Linked DNA regions of Oryctolagus cuniculus. The protein of the gene in region 2 interacts with the protein of the main gene of each other region in a biochemical or structural test. Links are inferred from orthologs where the notes say so. Each region holds a gene or a part of one and is shown on either strand. Other genes may lie near its edges.

Region 1 (4,355 bases), on a different chromosome or scaffold from region 2:
AACGGGCAGGGAGAGAGATCAGACACAGAATGAGAGACCACAAAGGAAGACTGACAGACACCTGAGAGGGACACTCTAACAAAGCTTCCGAGTAGATATGAAATGCTCCCAAGAGAGTGACTCTTAATGGGTAATATGACCACAGGACCGTCTATGTAAGTACAGCCTGCTAGTAAATAGGCTGAAACAAATTTTAAAACTTCATGCAGAAACAAGACAAACCATTGTGGAGGAGCCAGTCCATTACAGCAACAAAGGCCACTGGCGGGGCAGGTGTTTGGCACTGTGCTAAGGATACCACTTGGGAAGTCACCCCCACATCAGGCTGCCTGGGTTCAAGTCCTGGCTCCACTTCTAATCCAGCTTCCTGATAATGCACACCTGGTGGCAGCAGGCGCTGGCTCAAGTACCTGGATCCCTGCCTCCCATGCAGGAGACATGGACTGAGTTCCTGCCTCCTGACTCTAGCCTGGCCCAGCCCTGGCTGTTGCAGGCATCTGGGGCGTGAACCAGTGAACGGAAGTGCTTTCTTGACTTATCTATGTGTCTCTGCCTTTGAAATAAACAAACATATAAAGTTTTGTTTTTTTTCTTTTAAAGCCACCAGGGCTTTAGACCTTGTGGATTAACACCCACTTTTTCTGGTAAACTCAATGCCAGGTTAGGAGGTTAACTACATCTGTCTACCCTTCTAATTTGCTTCCAAAATGAAAACAAGGTAGGTACTGGTACCGTGGCACAGAAGGTTAGGCCGTGGCTTGCAGCGCCAGCATACCAATTCCCAGCTGCTCCACTTCTGAGCCAGCTCCCTGCTAGCACAGCTGGGAAAGCAGCAAAGGAATGGCCCGAGTGCTTGGGCCCCTGCACCCACGTGGGAGACCTGGAAGAAGCTCCTGACTTTGGTCTGGCCCAGCCCTGGCTGTTGCAGCCATTTGGGGAGTGAACCAGCAGATGGAAGTAACTCTCTCTCTCTCTCTCTCACTGTAGCTCTGCCTTTCAAATAAAATAAAGAAATCGTTAAAAAATTCATTAAAAAACCTAAAAACAAGGTGAGTACAACAGCCACAGTGATGAACAGAGGGCAAAGTAGAAAAGCAAATGAGCCCAGGAATCCCTTTGCTCACGGAGCGCCTCAACCTGGGGCTTCTGAAGCTTTTGTAGTCTCACGGCAAATACAGTCATTTTCTTTTTCTTTTTTAAGGTTTATTTATCTATTTAAAAGGCAAAGTTACAGAGAGTAAGGGAGAGATAGAAAGAGTGAGGGCTGGCCAGCGCCGCGGCTCACTAGGCTAATCCTCCACCTAGCAGCGCTGGCACACCGGGTTCTAGTCCCGGTCGGGGCGCCGGATTCTGTCCCGGTTGCCCCTCTTCCAGGCCAGCTCTCTGCTGTGGCCAGGGAGTGCAGTGGAGGATGGCCCAAGTGCTTGGGCCCTGCACCCCATGGGAGACCAGGAGAAGCACCTGGCTCCTGGCTTTGGATCAGCGCAGCGCGCCGGTGTAGCAGCCATTTGCGGGGTGAACCAACGGAAGGAAGACCTTTCTCTCTGTCTCTCTCTCTCTGTCTAACTCTGCTTGTAAGAAAGAGAAAAGGAAAAGGAAAGAAAGAGTGAGGGCTTCCATTCACTGTTCACTCCTCAAATGGCCGCAACAGCCAGCACTGGGCCAGGCCATCAGTAGGGAGACGGATCAGAAGTGGAGCAGCCAGGACACAAACCGGTTAGGGTTAGGGGTTAGGGGCTAGGGTTAGGGATTCCAGCGTCACAGGAGGTGGCATTACTCACCAGGCCACAACACCAGGCCCTGTGGTCATTTTCTAAAGGGCACTGCTGTACATTTAAGGACAAAGTCTCCAATGCTATTTTGCTGATTTAAAAATTACTGTCAAATACAAATACATATAATCTGCAGAAATACGTTAACAATCACTGAAACTGAGAGTCTAATTCATAACTGAGTCTCCCCAAACCTGCTCTCACCACTGAGGACATTTCTTTCTTTGCAATTATAATTAATCCTATGCTTTTCTTCCAACAGTCAAGTTCCGGTGAGATAAAAACAAAAACAAAAACAAGCATGTGCCAAGACCAAGGTGGTCTATATCACTAAATAAATTCAATGTCGTGAGAGTTAATCCAGCTTAGGCCTTATATATATTTTCATGAGATTTCAAAGTCAATCTTTTACCTGCATTGAATGAATCATTTCTTTGGTGAAACGATACGGATACAAAATGTTGTGAATTTTAACCGCTAAGCTCTCAGCCTGGCCACTGCTTACATCAACAGCAACCTAGAAAGACCCAGCACAAATGTCATTTAAATGTTAATTGTTGTGTCTGCAGAAATGTTTTACCAAAGATTTCAAAGTGCTTTAAAAATATTCACTCTCATATAATCTATTAAAGATGGCTTGAATTCAGGGAACTTACAGAAATTCAAAAAGCTCTATGAATAATCATCTTAAGTAAGTTTGTTTAAACAAAATGACAAAAACCAATACTGCTTCAGATCAACAATCTGTCTACGCTCCAAAGACCTTAAAGATCCTGACTAAACAAATCAGTGATGGAGAGCTCACTTGTTATGCACACCCTGCAGTGTAGGAGGTACGTTCTGTGCATTCACACTGCGGACAGACGCCCACGTTCTGTGCATTCACACTGCGGACAGACGCCCACGTCTACGGACAAGCCGGTCCTCCAGAAGAGGCTTCACCGCTTTATCTAATGATGGCAGTTTTCTCATCACCAGCCTGAACACTGCACCACCGCTATGTCAGGGTTTCCAACAGCGATAAACACATTCACTATTCACACTCTGAGTATACAGGTTTAATCCTTCCAAAATGCTATGAATTCTCATTTTTCCTCTCCACATTAAGCATTAATTTCCAAATAAATTACCTGGAAACATACTCAGTTTCTATTCACAATTATACATTTGTGTCCGTACTCAGCTTAAATGAAGTTCAAATTTTAACATAACAGGCAAATAAAAACTGCTGCACGCCCACCTCTGGGTAGCGGGTAAATACTGGGTTGTCCCATTCTGAGAGCAAAGACTTCAGGGATTCACTGCCAACAGCATCCTCCACAGTATCTAGGGCAAATGGGAAAGATTCAGCTGGCACCCAGAGCCCAGGAAAAAGGGTGAACCCCACTTCCCTTGGCTGTAGCCTCAAGACCCAAGATCAGATACACTGCCCCACATTCTACAGATGTTCAGTGTTTGCTTTAACTCCAAGCTGTTCTGCTCTGCTACTTTTTAAACTAGAGTTGATGGCTGTATCTTCTATTATAGCTTTTCTCCCAACTGTTTACAAAAGGTACTTCAAAATACAAGTCCCGAAAAAGCAATGGCTCAAATTAAATTTGTTGCCTCACTGCCTATAGGTTAAAAAAAAAACACAAAAACATGTATTTTTAGTAAAAATTTAAAAAATAGATGTCTAGGTCAGCGCCGCGGTTCAACAGGCTAATCCTCCACCTTGTAGCGCTGGCACACCGGGTTCTAGTCCCGGTCGGGGCGCCAGATTCTGTCCCGGTTGCCCCTCTTCGAGGCCAGCTCTCTGCTGTGGCCAGGGAGTGCAGTGGAGGATGGCCCAAGTACTTGGGCCCTGCACCCCATGGGAGACCAGGAGAAGCACCTGGCTCCTGCCATCGGATCAGCGCGGTGCGCCAGCCGCAGCGCGCTAGCAGCGGCGGCCATTGGAGGGTGAACCAACAGCAAAGGAAGACCTTTCTCTCTGTCTCTCTCTCTCACTGTCCACTCTGCCTGTCAAAAAAAAAAAAAAAAAAAAAAAAAGATGTCTGTCGCTTTTTTCAGTTTTACTTAGATAAAGCTCTTGCAGCATGCAATGTGACCCCCATCGTTAAAAATCAGAAACATCTCCCTGATCACAAAGCACCACAGACTGCATAATCACCCAGTATTAACCTCAAGTCTGGAAAAGTAATTTCTGATCTAAATGCATACACTGAGTTACTTAGTTCTGCTGTGAAATAGGGCCATGGGGAATTCCTGGTTCCAATAAGGCACAGCTGGCACTGATCAAGCTTACTAATGCAGCCCTGTTTTGTTCTGTGCGTGAGGTGGCACGGCGTGTACAAGGTGTCCAGGCAATGTTATTGCCCCTACCTCTGTCACTCTGTCTCGCCACAGTCCTCTCCTGAACTCTTGGAAGGAAAGGAAGAACAAGGTCACTTCTAAAAGGATGACATCTGTACTGAGACCCTAAACATAAAAAGGAAAAACCTAGAAACTTAAGCTCAAAATATAAAGTAGTAAAAAGTTAAATTACATAAAATCTCTTTCTGCACCAAATGAATTAAGACACAAGGCAATCTGCCAAACACT
Region 2 (4,355 bases):
AGTGCAGTGGAGGATGGCCCAGGTGCTTGGGCCCTGCACCCCATGGGAGACCAGGAAAAGCACCTGGCTCCTGGCTCCTGCCAGGATCAGCGCGGTGCGCCGGCTGCAGCGGCGGCCATTGGAGGGTGAACCAACGGCAAAAGGAAGACCTTTCTCTCTCTGTCTCTCTCTCACTGTCCACTCTGCCTGTCAAAAAAAAAAAAAAAAAAAAAAAAAAAAAAAAACAATCTTGGTACCTGACAAATTCGCTGCTTTCCCATGAGTGTCTTTTTTTCTTCAGTCTTGATAGCTCTTTGACAGATTTTTTTTTTTTTACCCATTACATCAATCGAAGTAGGTAAAGGTTTTACTTTAGAACTTCATGATTCTTTTTTTTTCCTTTCTAAAAAGGTCCATTGCCTCTGACTTTATTCTCAATGAATTTGCATAATATAAATAATATTTCATGGATTTGATAGGCGCAGTTATTGTTTTCATAGTTTCAACTGGCACATTCTAAGATTCTAGCCTTTCTCAATTGTGACAGAGTTTGGAAGGCTTAGTATAAAATCTATGTGATGTTGTTACTATGAATAAACTACTAGAAGGCAGATTCTCATGGTTACTTTTTGACTATTGTACCTGTTATATTCAGTTAAATTTCCTGAGAGTAAATCTTAATAAGGGCTACAGATTGTACTACATGACACTTAGAAAGATGGGTAACCATTTTGTTTTTAATGTTTCTATTTAAATATTGAAAAAAATGTATACATATTTTTACCACCTGTCTATGTGTTTATAATAGCACTTTTGAGCAACATATGGCACTTAAAAATTTATTTTGCAATTAAAACTTTTTTTCAGAACGTTAATTTTACTACTGTCCAAAGGAAATACTTCAATGAAACAAAAGGATTAGAGTATATTGAACAGTTTTGCACAGCAGAATTCAGCACTGTCCTAATGGAGGTTCAGTCCAAGTAAGTTACAACTTAAAAAGAAAGTAAGAAAGCTCCAGTGTGAGTTCCATGAGGGCAGAGTTTTCTTTGATCCCTTCTGTATCCCTACTAACTACCTAGAAAAGTTCCAGACTCATAATACACAATATTATTGAAATAATAAAACAGTTAATTAAAGTTTCTATGCAGTGTCCCCAAATTAGTTATAATCTATTGCTCTGATGATTGCTGCCAGCTTTATTTTGGATTAAAAATCTCAAGCATCACAGTAAACTAGAAAAGTTGTGGCATGGAAATGAAGTACAGTTGAAGTGGTGTTCTTATTACATCATACTTTTAATCCTAGAAATATGAGATAGGAAATTATATTTTTAGGATAAATATTTCTCAGAACGTGCAAAATCAATATGTTCTCTGAGCCAGATTGGACACTGTTTACTCAGTTAGTGACCATGTTTATTCTCACTGAATTTGTAATATATTTTCCTATTGATTGGGACATCCTGACCCCACCTTTAAGGTCTTCATACTCTTTCAGCATTATTTGAGTACTTAGAGTTGTAAATCCAAAATAGACACAAATTACCATTGAATGTTGTCTCTGACACATGGTTTATTGGTGACCCTTAAGTATTCTTAAGTTCCCTTAAGTATTGTATTTTAAAATAAGGAACATTTGTTATAACTTACTTGTAATTTTACTGAAAATAAGTTGAAATGAGTGTTTCTTCTTATAGCAGTAATTTTTTAAATTAAGGACTTACAGTGATATATCATTGATTACCTTACAGATATTACTGTCTTGCAGCTGTTGCAGCTTTGTTAAAATATGTTGAATTTATTCAAAATTCAGTTTATGCACCCAAATCGCTGAAGATTTGTTTCCAAGGTAGTGAACAAACAGCAATGATAGATTCATCATCAGCCCAAAACCTTGAATTGCTAGTTAATAACCAAGACTATAGGTAAGATCTTCTAACTTTTTTAAAAAATGTATTTTTAGGGCCGGTGCTGTGGCTTACTTGGTTAATCCTCCGCCTGTGGTGCCGGCATCCCATGTAGGCACCGGGTTCTGGTCCCAGTTGCTCCTCTTCCAGTCCAGCTCTCTGCTGTGGCCTGGGAGGGCAGTGGAGGATAGCCCAAGTGTTTGGGCCCTGCACCCGCATGGGAGACCAGGAAGAAGCACCTGGCTCCTGGCTTCGGATCGGCCCAGTGTCGGCTGTGGTGGCCATTTGGGGAGTGAACCAACGGAAGGAAGACCTTTGTCTCTGTCTCTCTCTCTCACTGTCTATAACTCTACCTGTCAAATAAATTTTAAAAAATGTATTTTTAAGGGCCGGTGTTAGAGTGTAGTAGTTTAAGCTGTTGCCTATGACACTGGCATCCATATGGATGCCAGTTCGTGTCCCAGCTGCTCTACTTCCAATCCAGCTCTTCACTAATGTGCCTGAGAAATCAGCAGAAGATGGCTCAAGTGCTTGGGATCCTGCAACCCATGTGGGAGACCTGGAAGAGCTACTAGCTCTGGCTTCAGTCTGGCCCAGTCCTCGCCATTATGGCCATCTGGGGAGTGAACCTACAGATATTTCTCACTCTGTTTCGCCCTCTCTCTCTGTAACTCTGCCTTTCAAACAAATAAATAAATCCTTTTTAAAAGTATCATTTTATGTCCTTTTTTTTAAGATTAATTAATTTAAATTTTTTTCAGTTGTTTCATGAAGAAATAGTGAATAAATATATTTGTTTTATTAAAAGATTTCTTTTAAAATTTATTTGGAGAACCAGAAAGGGAGAGAAGGGGAAATGAAAGGGAAAAGGTAAAAGAGAGAGAGCGGGAAAGAGAAAGCTCTGAAGTTCATTCTTGAAATGCCTGCAACAAACTGGGGGTGGCTTATGCTGAAGCCAGGAGCCAGGAACACAATTCGTTTCCAACATGGGTGGCCGGAACCCAGCTACTTGAGCTGCCTTTTAGAATCTGCACTGACAGGAAGCTGAAATCAGAAGTGGAGGTTAGGTCCAGCATTGTGGTGTGGCAGGTAAAGCCACCACTTGCAATGCCAGCATCCCAAATGGGTGCTGGGTTCTGACCCAGCTGCTCCACTTTCCATCCAGCTTCCTGCTAATGGTCTGGGAAAAAAGAAGAAGATGGCCCAAGTACTTGGGCCCCTTTACCCATGGGGGAGACCCAGAAGAAGCTCTGGGTTCCTGACTTCAGCCTGGCACAGTCACAGCTGTTGTGGCCATTTGGAGAGTGAACCAGCAGAGGGAAGATCTCAGTCCAATTCCAAATACTTTTTAATTAGTGTAATTCCTTCAATATCCTGGTATTTTTTAGGCTGTGTTTCTGTATTTTGAATGTTCTTGAGTATATTTGTTAAAAAAATTACATACACACACACACACATTGTGTGTATTATGTGTTTAGTGAATATTGGGAAAGGTAGAGAGGCCATTTTTCATTGGACTTTTCTTTCTTTCTTTTTCTTTTTCTTTTTTTCTTTTATTCCTCTCCCCTCCCTTCCCCTCCTCTCCTCTCTGATTTGTTTATTTGAAAGGCAGAGTTTCAGAGGGAGAGGGTGGGGGAGAAATCTTCCATCTGCTAGTTCATTCCTGAAATGGCCACAATGGTCAGGGCTGGGCCAGGCTGAAGCCAGGAGCTTCTTCCAGGTATCCCATGTGGGTGCAGGGGGCCAACCACTTGGGTCACCCTGTGCTGCTTTCCCAGCACATTAGTAGGGTGCTGGATGCTGGATCAGAAGTGGAGCAGCTGGGACTTGAACCAGCACCCATGTTGGATGCTGCAGGTGGTAGCTTAACCTGCTGTGCCACAGGACTGACCCCTGAATAAATGTTTTTAATCATTGTACCATTGTTGCTAAACTGCTCAGAAGTTTCACCAAAATCAGGTTGTAAAAAGATATTTGGGGGCATTTAGGCTCATAATTAAGATGCCAGCTGAGATGCCCATGTCCTACTTCAGAAAATGTGGGTTTGATTCCTGACTCTGGTTCCTGCCTTTAGCTTCTCACTCCAGCTGCTGCTAATGTAGACCCTAGGAGCCAACAATGATGGTTCAAGTGATTGGTTCCTGGCACTACATTTGTGTGGATTGCAATCTCAGCTCCCAGCTTTGGCCCTAGCCCAACCCCAGCTGTTTTGTGCATTTGGAGAGTGAATAAGTGGATGGGAGCACACTCTGTCTCTCTGTCTCTCAAATAAGTAAAAACTATAAAATAAAAGATATTTGTACTAAACAGCAAAAAACAAACAAAACCCACCTCACTTTAAAACTGGACAAGGGGCGCCGGATTCTGTCCCGGTTACCCCTCTTCCAGGCCAGCTCTCTGCTGTGGCCAGGGAGTGCAGTGGAGGATGGCCCAAGTCCTTGGGCCCTGCACCCGCATGGGAGACCAG

The links.
Region 1: the proteins of MSH4 (region 2) and MLH3 form a complex in vitro, tested with the Homo sapiens proteins (2 studies listed by BioGRID). The link is inferred for Oryctolagus cuniculus from reciprocal best matches to the Homo sapiens genes MSH4 and MLH3.

What each region holds. Positions count from the first base shown.
Region 1 is NC_091451.1:21,093,989-21,098,343, forward strand, and holds part of MLH3 (DNA mismatch repair protein Mlh3), read right to left. Parts: intron 4,233-4,355; coding exon 4,137-4,232; intron 3,099-4,136; coding exon 3,013-3,098; intron 2,290-3,012; coding exon 2,185-2,289; intron 1-2,184. UniProt on the Homo sapiens protein: Probably involved in the repair of mismatches in DNA.
Region 2 is NC_091438.1:96,175,388-96,179,742, reverse strand, and holds part of MSH4 (mutS protein homolog 4), read left to right. Parts: intron 1-846; coding exon 847-962; intron 963-1,732; coding exon 1,733-1,906; intron 1,907-4,355. UniProt on the Homo sapiens protein: Involved in meiotic recombination. Required for reciprocal recombination and proper segregation of homologous chromosomes at meiosis.